2 linked regions of the Tamandua tetradactyla genome follow. The protein of the gene in region 1 binds, or shares a complex with, the protein of each later gene. Links are inferred from orthologs where the notes say so. Each region holds a gene or a part of one and is shown on either strand. Other genes may lie near its edges.

What was found. Proteins that work in one complex are often made in the same cells at the same time.
Region 2: the proteins of RNASEH2B (region 1) and RNASEH2C are in contact, whole or in part, in a crystal structure (PDB 3PUF), measured with the Homo sapiens proteins. The link is inferred for Tamandua tetradactyla from reciprocal best matches to the Homo sapiens genes RNASEH2B and RNASEH2C. Residues at the interface, in NP_078846.2 of Homo sapiens: Arg14, Gln15, His16, Val17, Phe18, Leu19, Val20, Ser21, Glu22, Leu24, Leu35, Met36, Phe37, Val38, Lys39, Leu52, Glu62, Lys64, Phe66, Glu68, His70, His71, Ser72, Trp73, Phe74, Ile75, Asn76, Gln77, Ser78, Val79; in NP_115569.2 of Homo sapiens: Ile9, His12, Arg13, Val14, His15, Leu16, Ser18, Ala27, Thr28, Leu29, His30, Leu31, Leu32, Pro33, Cys34, Glu35, Val36, Ala37, Val38, Asp39, Gly40, Pro41, Ala42, Pro43, Val44, Gly45, Phe48, Phe63, Val75, Pro77.

Annotation. Positions count from the first base shown.
Region 1 is NC_135330.1:106,847,629-106,854,797, reverse strand, and holds the start of RNASEH2B (ribonuclease H2 subunit B), read left to right. Parts: upstream 1-4,150; 5' UTR 4,151-4,397; coding exon 4,398-4,461; intron 4,462-4,510; exon of another isoform or gene 4,511-4,602; intron 4,603-7,169. UniProt on the Homo sapiens protein: Non catalytic subunit of RNase H2, an endonuclease that specifically degrades the RNA of RNA:DNA hybrids. Participates in DNA replication, possibly by mediating the removal of lagging-strand Okazaki fragment RNA primers during DNA replication.
Region 2 is NC_135335.1:8,802,203-8,809,292, reverse strand, and holds the start of RNASEH2C (ribonuclease H2 subunit C), read right to left. Parts: upstream 3,004-7,090; 5' UTR 2,962-3,003; coding exon 2,790-2,961; intron 2,698-2,789; coding exon 2,507-2,697; intron 2,429-2,506; coding exon 2,309-2,428; intron 2,005-2,308; coding exon 1,978-2,004; 3' UTR 1,401-1,977; coding exon of another isoform or gene 1,266-1,400; 3' UTR 1,168-1,265; coding exon of another isoform or gene 1,086-1,167; 3' UTR 979-1,085; coding exon of another isoform or gene 819-978; 3' UTR 1-818. Other genes in the region: histone acetyltransferase KAT5, read left to right, coding at 819-978, 1,086-1,167, 1,266-1,400.

The sequences.
Region 1 (7,169 bases):
TGTTTTTCTATTTTTCATGGGCAGGCACCAGTAATCAAACCCAGGTCTCCAGAATGGCAGGTGAGAACTCTGCCTGCTGAGGCACCGTGGCTCATCCTCTCATAAGTTTTTAATAATCCATAAGAGAAAAAATAATTTCTCCACTGCTCTTAGTGCGAGCTCTCTCTGCTGAGGCCAGGGCTACTGAGGCCAGGGCTAAAACATTGCTGAAGGTCATTTGGCTCTGAACCCATCCTTCCCCTCCAGCCCCCAGTTCTGGGTTTTTGCTTCGTTTTTCTTTTTGTTTGAAAATGAACATCTCATTGCTCCCAGCATTTAGAAAAGTCTCTATGATTCTCTACTCAGAGGTACTCAGGTTGCTGCTACTGTCTCATTTTCTGGAGAGTGACCTGCTTGTCTCTTTCGCATAAATAAAAATGATTTTATGGAACATTTTAGGATATACTGGACATAATTGATTTGTTCTTGTTTTTAAAACTAGTTAATAACATATGTCCTTGACTATTACCATGACCACCTATCTATCTGCATAAACATTTACTCAAGAAATATTTACTGAGCACCTGCTCTGGGCCCAGACAGTTTTGTCCCAGGCACTGGGTCACTGAGGAGGGGGGCTGACTAAGAGCCAGTCTCTGGAATCCCCTGCCATTCGCTAATTGTGCTCTGTTGAGCGATTACTTGATTATTTATCAACTTTACACTCTTTCTCAGTAAAAATGTGGGTGATCATACTAATATTTCCCCACAGGGCTGATGGGGGATGGAAAGAGATAATCCAAGTTGAGTGCTAGCACTAGTATGAGCCAATTTTATTTTCTGAGGATAAAGGGATGAATGATTAAGTGGTGTCCTTATCTCAAGGGACGAGGGCCTGGTGGTAGAGCCTGCAGGGCAATTACTCATTCCTAGGGGAGGGTGCTAGAGGGGTACTGATGGGTGAGGGACAGTTGTCCAGAAGGTAGTGCCAGAACAGGGAGGCAAGTAGAGTGCTCAGAGCACCAGGCATGGGGGACGCAATGCCAAGTGTTGGATGCAGGCAGCTCTTATGGCTGTGGGCGGGGTGTGCGTGAAGAAGGCCTTGGCAGCTGTGGCCAGGTATTTAAAGCTTAGCACCTTGGACTTGAACTAGAGGACAGAGGGACCTAGCATCAATTTCCACACCACCACTGCACCCCCTTTCAAGAAGATACTTAACTATTCTAGAGGCTACTCTTACACAAACTTCAGTTAGATGTTGCTAATTGCTACATTTTGCCAAACCCCAAACAAGACCATTCCTGTTAACCCTAAAGAACACCTAGGGCTTTATCTGAGATTCTACAAAAGTTTCACATGCTAAAAGATTACTTTCCAGAAGCCTACAACCTCCAGATGGGTTCTGAGGTCAGATAAGTCCTGCAACCCAGAGGGACCAGCCTCTCTAAGAACACCAACTAATTCCATCCCCCCATTCCACATCGTGGACACCCTCCTTCAACATGAAAAAGTTAGAATGGGCATAGCCCAAATACCCCTAAAGACTGGGAGAAGGATCACAGGAGAAGGAGGAGTTAAACCAGAGAAAATAGGAATTAACAAATGAATATGATTGCTGAATCATTATATTGCTATTTCTTTTTAAGTCTCCAGTATCTTGGAGAAGCTAGAAGGACAAACTTGAACTCGTGGAACTATTACCTACACCAGGCTCTGAAATCTGTTCTATAACTACTTGTTAAATTGTACCTTGAAATTTATTGCTTTTTTGTATATATATTTCACAATAAAAAATGTTTTAAAAAAAGAAGATATTAAGTCATTAAAAAACAAAACATCTCTCTCTCAGCCAACAGAGCAAGCAAACTCACCACCTTCCCCCTTTCTATGTGGGACATGACTCCCAGAGGTGTAAACCTCCCTGCCAACATGGGACAGAAATCCTAGAAAGAGCTGGGACTCAGCATCAAGGGATTGAGAAAACCTTCTTGACTGAAAGGGGGAAGAGAGAAATTAGACAAAATAAAGTGCCAGTGGCTGAGAGATTTCAAACAGGTCGAGAGGTTATCCTAGAGGTTATTCTTAAGCAATATATAGATATCCCCTTTTTAGTATAAGTATAGTAGAGTAGCTGGAGGGAAGTGCCTGAAACCATAGAGCTGTGTTCCAGTAGCCACGCTTCTTGAAGATGACTATATAAAGATACAGTTTTCGCAATGTGACTGTGTGATTGTGAAAACCTTGTGTCTGATGCTCCTTTTATCTATGGTATGGACAGACGAGAAAAACATATGGAATAAAAATGAATGCATAATAGGCAGAACAAATGTTAAATTGAGTAGATTGAAAAACAAAAAAATGGGACAAAAGAAAGTTGTATGGATGTTTGCTGCACCACTTAAAAAAAAAAATCTGTGTCTTTGGATCGACTCTCATTCATAGTGAATGAGAGTCTCATTTCATACTGATTATGAGAGTCTCATTTCATACCATAGTGAGGTGTCCCTGGGGGTCCTGACCCCTCTTTATTGTCTTAACCCCACCCTTCAGCCTTACCCACACTCCCTGCATTTTAAAGACACACATTTTCTATGTATTTGAGACATGGCCTTAACTATGCACATATCCTGGGAAAATATGTAGTGCTCTATGTATGTGTTTCTACTTTACCTATGTGGTCATCTGCTAAAAATCTTTTTTCTCTCTCAATAGAAAGCATCCACATGGCTACATGTACATCTTGCCTATAGCTTTGAATGCTTTAATATGTATGTCCATACATAATATACATTCAAGCTTTATTTATAATAAACATCTGCAATAACCGTGGTACATAACCAGTACGACATAGCACATCCATTAGCGGTGATTTTTCTGAATACAATGGGAAAAATGTTTATGACAGTGAAAGACAAAGCAGGCTAAATTGTCTTTCCACTGTGAAAACATTCACATAAAAGAACATATTCATACAGCCACAGGCTGGAAAGGATCAGAGAAAAAAACGAAACCAGCTCCGGAGAGCCAGGGCATGAGGAAGGGTTGTTGTCCGTTCTGGTGATGTTGTGCCTTTCAATTCAGCCTATACCACGGCTTTTCAGATAGTTTAATTTGGGGGGTGAGGGGTCAAGGTAATAGTTTAATTTGGGGGGTGAGGGGTCAAGGTAATAGTTTAATTTGGGGGGTGAGGGGTCAAGGTAATATCTGCCCCACCCCTCACCCCGCAGCCAGGAAGACTCCCTCTGCACCAGGGATGTCCTACACTCAACTTCAGCTGCATCTGTCTCAACCCCACTGCAAACAGTATTGAAGTTAAAAATCTGTTCCGATGGCTGAGATGGATCTGACAAATTTAACCATCTTCAGAATTAAACAAACAACAAAAAAGCAAAATGCATGAATTGTGGATGTTTCTCTTTCATTTTATGCAAAAATCAAACCACCCGGAGCTTGAGTTGACACGGAAAAACTGGGAGAATAATCAAGAACTACTAACAAGAACTGCCTCTGGGGAGGGGTATTACGGATCTGGAGTAAGAGAAAAATATACTTTTCTGTGAAGTATCAAAGAAATAATTTTCTTTCCCTTTTTTTTTTTTGAACCACGTACCAATCCTTACCTTTTCAATTAAAATTTTATTTGTGCGTTTAATATCTAAGTATCACGGCCTTAGCTTTTTTAGAAACCGCTTTAAATTTTTTTCCGTTTAATTCATGGCAAATAGTCTTCCCCTAAAGCAAACAGATTCATATTCTGAGATCTCAATTGCGCGCCTCTTTTAGCCGATGGAACTAAGTCCCAGTGGAGGACCCGCTTCCCATATTTTGTAAGTTCAGGTGCACACCGCAGCCTGGCATTAATTCCAGCGCAGAAAAAATCCGAACACCCGTCTAGGAGTTCCTTCACGACTGGGACGCGACAGCTACTGTCCCAACATGGGCTGGCTCCAGGCTGTCGGGCCCAGGCCCGGGGCTCCCGCGCGGGGTGCCCTGCCCCAAGGGTGCGGGAGTGGAGTGGGGGGAGAGGACACCTCGCCCGCGCCGATCACCAGGCGAGGGGAAAGGGCCGCCCAGTGGGGCGCCCCAGGCCAGGCCGCCGCGACCCCACCCCCGCCGCACCCGCGTCGCCGCGTCACTGCGCCCTCAGGGCGCGCACCTCGGCGTCTACCGCTGTCCCGGGAGCGGAAGGGGAGGCCCCGCGCACCGCCGCCATGGTCGCCGCGGTCGCCTGGGCCCGGCGCTAAATTCAAAACCCAGGCGGAGGCCCGGCTGCGCCCCGGCGGCTGGTTGGCTCCGGAAGCGGAACGCCGCGGGCCGCGCGCGCCACCCCCTCGGCGTCCGCAGTAGGCCGTTCTCCCGCCACTGGCGGCTCCCGAGCCCCGGCCCGCGAGCCCAGGGCCCCGGGAGCAGCGCGCGGCATGGCGGCGGGCGGGGAATACGGGGACGCGGGGCGCGCGCGCCAGTACGTCTTCCTGCTCCCAGGTAAACGCGGCCGCCCGGCCCTCCCCACCAACCCCTCTTCCCCGCAAACCTGCCGGGGCTCCGGGCGGGCCTGGGCACGTGGGAGCGGCACGGCCTTCCCTCGGGGACGCACTTCTCGTCTTGCTCTAGCCAGAAGCTGGCGTCTCAGGCGGGCTCCTTATGCACCGGTGGGCGGGAGGGCTGGGCCCGGCCTGCAGAGGGCTGGGTGGCTTCGGGGTCCCGGGGCGCGCTGCCTTGGGGGATAACTGGGTACCCACCACCGCGCTCGGCAGTTGGCCCGGCGTCCCGGGTCCGTGTCGGGTCCTGAGATCCAACAGGCCCGGAGTTGCCTGCGAAGACGGGCCAGGGACAACTGAGGTGTGAGATCAGTTTGGGGCGTAAAGGAAGGTGGCGGCAGCTAGGACAAGGGGGAGCTCTCAGCGACTCGGGCAACGGTGACCACTAGGCTGCCTGCGCCGGACCCAGCGATACAGGGCGTGCGGGGAACTGGGGCCAGGGCCACTCCGTTGCGACCCGAGAAAGCCCCAACCCGATAAGCTACCGAGTCAGAGGTAGTGGTTAGAGAGTGTGAGGCAGAAAGGTTTGGCTTTTGTATAGGATATGTTTAATGGTGTGACATTGGAAAGAAGGGCAATCTGCTGTTGACCGTATTTGTGAGATTTAGCGTAGAAAAATGCAGTGAGTACAGCGTGCAGTTTAGGTGGTTAATGAATGGTGTGTTGACACATTCCCCTCAAACTAGTAGCTGTTCTCAGCCACCGGAGTTCCAGGCCCACCGGTCGCCAGAGATTGGGGTCAGCTGAAATGTGTACCCCTTTGCCTCTGGTTTTTTCCACTCAAAATTGTGAGGTCCATCCATGTTGGGTGGGGAAGTGGTTTGGTTTGGCTTTGTGGTTTTGCTTTCGGGTGTATCTCATTGTCCAAATATGCATACTGTCTCTTCTCCAGTATTCTACATACTGCCGAACAGTTTCCAAAGTGGTTGTACCAATTTACACTCCCGCCACCCGTGAGTGAGTGAGCCTTCCTGTGGTGCCCTGTGCTCCCTAGAGATGCTTGTATAGTAAAATAGTGTGAAATTCAAGATTTCAGCTTAATTCTGCCAAAGGGCTACTTTTCTACATGCTTTACATTAGAAAAATCCTCCCTTCTCACTTCCGCCACATCAGTGCAATTGGATTTAAAGGTTATGAACTCTAATCACTCTTTCAGAATGCAATATAGGGTTATCATTCAGATCCCCGTACTGAGGGTAATTTGAGTCTTTTATTCTGTTCTGTTTTACTCAGCATTAACAGCTTCATTCTTTTTTTTTTTTTTTTTTTTTTTTTTTTTTTTTTAAAGAGAGAGGGAGGAAGGGAAGGAAAGACAGAGAGAAGGAAGGAAGGATGGAAGGAAGAAAGGGAAACATCTTTTAAACATTTTCTTGTTTTATTATATTTTGTTTGTTTGTTTGTTTGTTTCTTACATGGGCTGGGGCCGGGAATCGAACCGGGGTCCTCCGGCATAGCAGGCAAGCACTCTTGCCCGCTGAGCCACCGCGGCCCGCCCAACAGCTTCATTCTTGAAGTGTGTTTGCAGCCTCACTGTATTTAAATGCCTAAGACCCTAAATATCAATCAAATCCTGACAGTTGTAGGTTTAAAATGTCCACTGCTGTGCTGTGAGGAGAATTTCAGCCCTGTTCTTGTTCAGAGCTATAAGGAACTGTGACCTTAGGGCGGCCTAAGCCGCTGGTAAAGAACTGATGAAGAAAATAACTGATGAGGAAACTAAAGGGTCGGTCAGGCCGGTTCTGGAACAGTGAAAGTGGGCAGGGCTCTAACCTGTCATCCTTCTGGCTGGCCTTCAGTGCCACCTGCAGGCTCCCAGGGTAAGTCCACAAGCATGCTTCTGTGGCTCCTGCTGTGGAACAGCCGTTCTCAGGCTTGGGAGTATCAGAAAACCCAGGGGAGTCCGGCCCCACCCCGGAGGGTTGGATTCACTAGGTCGGGGTGGGCCCGAGAATGAGCATTTCTCACAAGTTCCCAGATACTCCCGATGCTGTGGGTCAGGTGTCCTGGGAACTAGGACCGGAAGGCCCCAGGTTTAACTTGGGACGTAGGACTTCGGTTTAGGATTCAGGTTTAGCATTGGGAGGTAAGGTTTAGCTTTGGGTTTGGGATTCAGGTTTAGGACGGGGAGATTGGTTGAGCTGTCTGTCTTGGGCCAGAATTTTCGAGGGGGGAGAGTTCCCATAAGCACGGGGTGTGGAGCCTGAATTCACAGAGGTATTGGTCATTTTCCCCCACACTCCCCACAGGTGGGAAGTCAATGCAGTTAGTCACCCAAGAGGAAGAGTGAACACCATAGTGTGGGGGGGAGGGGCTTAGTAAGAAAAGAGTTCATATAGAATTTTTCAGAATTATTTGATGGAGGCTCCATCTTAGAAAACTTCTGGGATATGAAGGGCTTACTCTGTATACTGATAAGTGAGCACATTGCCAACAGGCCAATAGAACATTGAAGATATTTATATCGGAAACTGAAGTAAAGTCACCTGACTTTGCCATGAGACTTTTCCAACATTTAATTCACATTTTTCATCAAGTTGCCTACCATGTGCATTGTGTTATATCTTGAAGAATGTATTAAAAAATACGATTTAGATCTCTTACTCTCTGGTTTTCCTTATCTCTGGCAAAGCTGAATATACTAGATAAACACAG
Region 2 (7,090 bases), on another chromosome or scaffold:
TATGAGACTGGTTGGTTCTAAGGGTGAGGAAGGCTTTTTAAAGATAGTGGAGACATTCTAGGGCCCTGACATGGGAGAAGGAAGATCTTGCCAAGATATGTAACCAGTTGGCTTCAGAGGGTCTGAGGGTCTCTTCGGGAGCTGGCTGCCAGTGCCCAGCAGAAATGCCTCAGGACCCAGTGCCTAGATCGCAGCCTGGTAGAAGGGAAAGGGCTACTACAGAGTTCAGGGCCATCACTGGGAGAAATGGCCTTGGTCTTAGAAGAGTGCTCCTCCTCTGTGGGTCCTCACAACCAGCCAATCAGGCCACCCTAGGACAGCAGAAGACTCTCCCAAGGCCTCAGCTAGGGGGAGGGTTTGAGAATTCAAACATCCTCAGGCCTGGACTCTGGATGGGGGCCTGCTTCACTTCCCTCCTCACATATCCGAACCCAGCAGGGAGTCTGGGATGACCCAAGGCAAATATATGGCATCTCCTTCCCATAAGCCATTCTCTCTGCACCTTGCACCCTTCTGCCCTCACTGGCTTCTGAGCACCTGGGTGAAAAGTGAATGCTCCATAAAGGAACAGCCAGGTGCCAGCACTTGACATTTGTTATTAATTGTACAACAGACCAAAGAAATAGGTGACTAAAGAAATAGGTGTTAGTCCTTTATGAGGAAACAGACACAACAGACAAGCAATCTACCCATGGTCACAGAAGTACCGAGTGGCAGGATTGGAATGGGGCAAGGCAGTTTATACCAGCAAACCATACTCTTAAATGTTGGTTGCATTAATCTGTGACCACTTACCCTCTCCTACTCCATTGCTTTAGGCTATGAACTTTCTAAAGTGGAAGGGAAAACGGGGACCCCTGAGAAGCCCCTCTCAGATCTTGGACTCTTGTCCTATCGAAGCTACTGGTCCCAGACCATCCTGGAGATCCTGATGGGCCTGAAGTCTGAGAGTGGGGAGAGGCCACAGATAACCATCAAGTAAGCAGGCATCTGGGGAGGGCATGGCCTGTCTGTCCCTGGGCTTTCTCACTCCCTCTGGGGCAGAGATGAGGACCCTAGAGGACCTGACCTTTGCCCTCCCACAGCGAGATTAGTGAAATCACCAGCATCAAGAAGGAGGATGTTATCTCCACCTTGCAGTACCTCAACCTCATCAACTACTACAAGGTAGGGGGCAGGCATGGGGAGACAGGTGGAGTGGGATAGGGTGCACAGAGTGCAGGCCTAGGGTGGGCTGACCCCGTCTGCCTCTCTCCCCTACCCAGGGCCAGTACATCCTCACTCTGTCAGAGGACATCGTGGATGGGCACGAACGGGCTATGCTTAAGCGGCTCCTTCGGATTGATTCCAAGTGTCTGCACTTCACTCCTAAGGACTGGAGCAAGCGGGGAAAGTGGTGACCAGGCACTGCTGTGGCAGCACCAGTACAGCTGGCAGAACTGGGGCTAACAGCCCATCCTGCCTCCATGGGGTCCTGAGAGGCACCTCAAGGGAGATGGGGCTGACTGCCCCAAAAGGAGAGGACAGGGCCGGCTGGTGCCCAGCACCAGGCAAGCTGAGCACTCAGGCCCACTCCCAGGTCAACTGGTTGCAAACCCAGTCTGTTCTGAGCCAGGGACCAGGCAGCTGTGTATAGTGCGATGGGGGGTGGGGGGGATCCTCTGTTCAGAGGGCTGGTTGGGTGTAAAGATTTCTCTTGTAAAGTAGAAGTTGGGGTGGGTATAGGCTGCAGAATTCTAGCCTCTCTTGCCCCAGTTTCCCCACCCCTGGTAATAAATTGTTTCTAAAGGTTAGAGTCATGAAAGGTTCCTGTGCTGGGGGGAAGAGGGCTGTGCCAGCTTCGGACTTGGAGGTGCCACAGACTCACAGGTGTTGTGAAGAGTTGGTTTATTGGCTGATGGGATCAGTGGCTCCAAAGTGAAGAACTGGTTTATTGGAGTGAAGGATTCCGCAGCTTTCAATTTCATGCGCTGGTTCTCAGTCCTCAGACACCTGTGCATGAATCTGCAAAGGAGTCACCTCCAGGGTTGGATTTCTAAAATACAGTGACTGGGTGGCCTACCTACGGGAGAGATCCAACTGCCTGGAATGATACTTACTTCTAGATAGGCCAGAAAAGAGTGGCAGGGAAGCCAAACTGTCTTTCACCAGCCTAAGAGGCCCAGACTTTTACCTACCCCATTGTGCTACCCGAATCCACTAAGGCAGCAAGATGCTGGACAACCGGACTCTAACTTTGTAAGGCACGGGAGGGGAATAGGCGAGGTCTCAGAGGCTCGGGAGGGAGAGGGTCCACCCTTCTACTCACCGCTGCAGCCAGGCCTGGCCACGCCAGGGCCCCACGCACTTTAGCATCCGGGCCAGGTATGGTCTCCAGACCCCATAGGGTAAAACGGCTGAAACTGGAGGTGGCCCCCATAAAGCGATCCTGGGGAAGGGGCTCGGCTCAGCCTCCCGGCCGCAGCCCCACCCACACCTCCTTCCAGCCCCATCCCCCTTTGCTCACGAAGTCCCGCTCCAGCGGCTCCTGCTCCTCTTCCTCGGCGTTCCGCGAACCCCCCAAGAAGTCCTGCTTCCCTTCGAGCCCTGTTAACACCTCTCTCTCCTCTTCCATCGTCAACACGTATCCCACGAGGCCGGGCGGCACCATCAGCTCCTCGCCGCGAAGACTGCGGCCCCGAAACGACACCTGAAGCCCTGGCGGGGGTAGGGGTGGGGGCTCAGCTGCAGCCGGACGCAGGGGGCCGCGCGGGGGCTGCCGGGAGCCGCGGTCCAACCCGAGCGCTCACCGTCCGGGCCCCGGCGGACCGCGGGCGTGAAGAAGCAGCCCACGGGGGCGGGCCGGTTCCGCGGGACCTCACAGGGCAGTAGGTGTAGCGTGGCGGGGGCTGCGCCGCGGAGCGTGGTGGGGCGCACGTGGACGCGCTGCTTCTCGGTGACCGCCTCATCGCTGCTCTCCATTGTCCCGCCGCCGCGATCCTGCTGCTCGCCGCCCAGGCCGAAGCTGGCGCGTCAAGCGCGCGGAGCCTCTCGGGAGGCCGCGTTGGGTCAGCGCGGAGCCTGCTGGGAAGTGTAGTCCTTACTTGTGGCGCCTCCGCAGGATCCGTCCCTTGAGTTCGAGTCCCAGCCTTTATTCTCTTTCATTTGCTTTTAATGATACATGCTCATTATAAACAACTAAGAGGATTCCGAAAAGTATACCTTTTATATTGAAGTATAGGATTGCTCACTGTTAACTTACTAGGAATAGCAACCCTTCCTCAAATGAATTTAAGATATTTTATTGGAATTTGTGGTTCGTCTTCGAAACCTGAGTTTGGGTGATTTTAGTTATACAGAAGACTTTTTTCTTTTTTGTGGGGAGCCTCATTTTTTCAAAACATTTTTATTGTGAAATATAACATGTACAAAAAAGCAATAAATTTCAAAGTGTATTGTAATGAGTATAAAATAGATTTCAGAGTTGGGTATGGTTTTTGGTGCTACAATGTTAGGTTTTTCCTTTTGGCTGCTAAAAGACACTGGAGACTGAAAGAAATACCAGTATAATGATTCAGCAGTTATACTCATTTGTTGAATCCTGCCTTCTCTGTTATACCTCCTCCTTTGATCCTGCTCTGAATGTTTAGGGGTGTTTGGTCTATGCCTATTCTAATTTTTTTATGTTGGAAATGGGTGCTGATAATATGGGATAGGGGATAGAACTAGTTGATGTTCGGAGAGGCTGGCTTCTCTGAGTTTTAGGACTTAACTGGTTTAAGAACCATCTGAAGGTTGCAGGTTTCAGGAAAGTAATAGAACCCTAGTTTTTTTTAACTTTTTTATTGTATAGTATAACATATACGAAGCAAAGAAATAAAAAAGCAATAGTTTTCAAAGCACTCTTCAACAAGTAGTTAAAGGACAGATCCCATAGTTTGTCATGGGCTAACAAAAGATCCTCTCAGATTTTTCCTTCTAGCTGCTTCAGAATATAGGAGGCTAGAAGGCATAAATATTTTTTTATCATTACAATTTACTTTTTTTCCTTTTTTGTGAAAAATAGCATACATACCAAAAAGCAATAAATTTCAAAGCACTGCACCACAATTAGTTGTAGAACATATTTCAAAGCTTGACATGGGTTGTAATTGTAATTGTAATTGTAAAAAATACATAGGTTTTTAATTCTAGCTGCTCTAAGATACTGGAGACTAAGAGATATCAATTGAATGATTCAGCGTTCATATTCATTTGTTAAATCCTATTTCCACTGTATAACTCCACCATCACCTTTGATCTTTCCATACCTCTCTTTAGGGGTGTTTGGGCTATGGCCATTCCAACTTTTTCACATTGGAAGGGGCTGTCACTAATATGGGGTAGGGAGATGGAACTATCTGATGTTCTGGAGAGGCTGGGCTAGGTTTCAGGACTTATCTGGACCAGGGACCCATCTGGAGATTGTAGGTTTCTGGAAAGTTTCTCTAGTGCCTGAAACCCTTGTGGAATCTTATATATTGCCCTAGGTGTTCTTTAGGATTGTCTGGAATGGTCCTGATTAGGATTTGGCAGGTTATGATAGGTAGCAAGGGCTACCTGAAGCTTGCATAAGCGCAACCTCCTGAGTAGCTCTCGACTCTATTTGAACTCTCTCTGCCACTGATACTTTATTAGTGACACTTCTTCCCCCCTTTTGGCCAGGATGGAATTGTTGATCCCACAGTTCCAGGGCTGGATTCATCCCTGGGAGTCGTCTCCCATGTCGCCAGGGAGACTTTCACCCCTGGATGTCATGTCCTACCTAGGGGAGAGGGCAATGATGTCACTTGCAGAGTTGAACTTAGAGAGAGTTAGGCCACATCTGAGCAACAACAGAGGTCCTCCAGAAGTAACGCTGAGGCATGCCTATAGGTAGTCTAAGCTTCTCCGCTACCTACATAAGCTTCACAAGAGTAAGCCTCGGGATTGAGGGCACAGCCAAGCCCTAGATGTTCTTTAGGCTTAACAGAAATAAAATAAAATCTTAACAGTATCCTGTGTATTCTGCTGCGCTTAGGGGAATGTTCTATAGATCTCTGTTAGGTCTAGCTGGTTTAGAGTTGTGTTCAACTTTTCTATTTCCTTATTAATCTTCTATCTAGATGTTCTTCCCATTTATGAAAATGGGTATGTTTCTCTCTTTCAGTCAGAATACAAGGATCTTGGAACTAAAGGGTGGAACTGAGAGCGACTTCTTTCACTATTACACATAATGCTTGTCTCACATTTTTTTCAGCTTCTGTTTGAGATGGTTTTTATATTTACATAAAACTTGCAAAAATAGAACAAAGATTTCCCATGTACCCTTCACCCAGCTTCACCTAATAGTAACAACTTACGTAACTATAGTGTAATTATCAAACCCAGGAAATTAGCATTGATACAATACCATTAACTAAATCTGTAGACATTATAGAATTGTGCCTGCATCCGGTCCTGATTCTGGATCCCACATTGCATCTAGTTTTCATGTCCTCTTGTCCTCTATCTGTGACAGTTTTTGACCTTGACACTGCTGAAGAGCACTGGCCAGTTCTTTTGTAAAATGTCCCTTAATTGGGGTTTGTCTGATGTTTTCCCATAATCGGTGATAGGAATTCATGGCAGGAATACCATAGAAGCAATAGTGTGCCCTTGTCAATGCCTCACATCCCTGCATTCATTAAATAGCGGTGTTAACCCTGGCCACTTGGTAAGTGTCAGGTTTCTCCTCTGAAAAGCCACTATTTTTTATTTTTTAATCAGAAGATGCCTATGCAACCAGTTTCTCTTCGTAAGTTTTACCCACTTATTTAGACATTCATCGGTGGTTCTTGCTTGAAACAATTATCGCTATGGTGTTTGCCTGATGGTGATTTTCTATTTCCAACATTCTGTCTGTATTTATTAATTGGAATTCTGGAGCTGTCCTTTCTTCCCCGTATATTTATTCAACTGTGGATTTATAACAGCATGGGCTCTTGGATATTTATTTTATTCTACAGGTTTTAATCTGTTGCTATCATTATTTATTTTGTTGCTCAAATTGTTCCAGATTTGTCCATTGAGGGATTCAAGTTCCCTGCCTTTGTATATTCAACAAGTCCCTGTCATTTTAAAAAATATATTTTTATTGAGATTTAATTCACATGCTAGCCCCCCCTTTAAACTTTACAACTCAGAGCTTTTTAGTATATTTATGAGATTGTGCAATTGCATTACCTAATTCCAGAATATTTTCAACAACCCAAAAAGAAATCCCATACTCAGTTTCTCCCCAATCCCCCTCCCCAGCCCCCAGAAACCATAAGTCTACTCTCTGTGTCTTTGGATTTTCCAATTCTATATATTTCAGATAAATGGAATAACATAATATTTGGCTTTCTGTGTGTGTCTTTTTCACTTAGCATAATGTTTTCAAGGTTCACCCATTGTTTTGGTTTGTTAAAGCTGCTGGAGTGCAATATACTAGAAATGCAATGGCTTTTAAAAAGGGAATTTATTAAGTTGCACATTTACAGTTCTGAGGCCATTAAAACGTCCAAACTAAGGCATCCAGAGAAAAATATCTTTTTTATGCTGTATGGTGGAGGTCACATTTTGTTCTTTTTCCATGTGAATATCCCCTTATTGCATATAGCACCATTTGTTGACTTTTGTTTGGTTTGGTTTTACATTTGTTTATTTGTTTGTTTGGGAAGTGCATGGGCCGGAAACTGAACTGGGTCTCTCACATGGCAGGTGAGAATTCTACCACTGAACTACCTTTGCGCCCCCTAGAGAATGCTAAAGAAAGACCAGTGGGTCTGAAACAGCTGTCAGCTGGGAAGGCACGTGGCCACCTCTGCTAGCTTTCTCTCCTGGCTTCTTCAAAGGGCTTCCCCAGGGGCGTTTTCCTTCTGCATCTCCAAAGGTCTTTGGCTGTGTGGGCTCTAAAGCTTTTTCCAAAATGGTGCCATCTTACAGGACTCTAGTAAGCATCCCTACCTACGATGGGTGCAGACACAGCTCCAAGGAACCACCTAATCCAAACATCCCCCCCCACACAATTGGGTGGGTCACATCTCCATGGAAACAACTTAATAAAAAA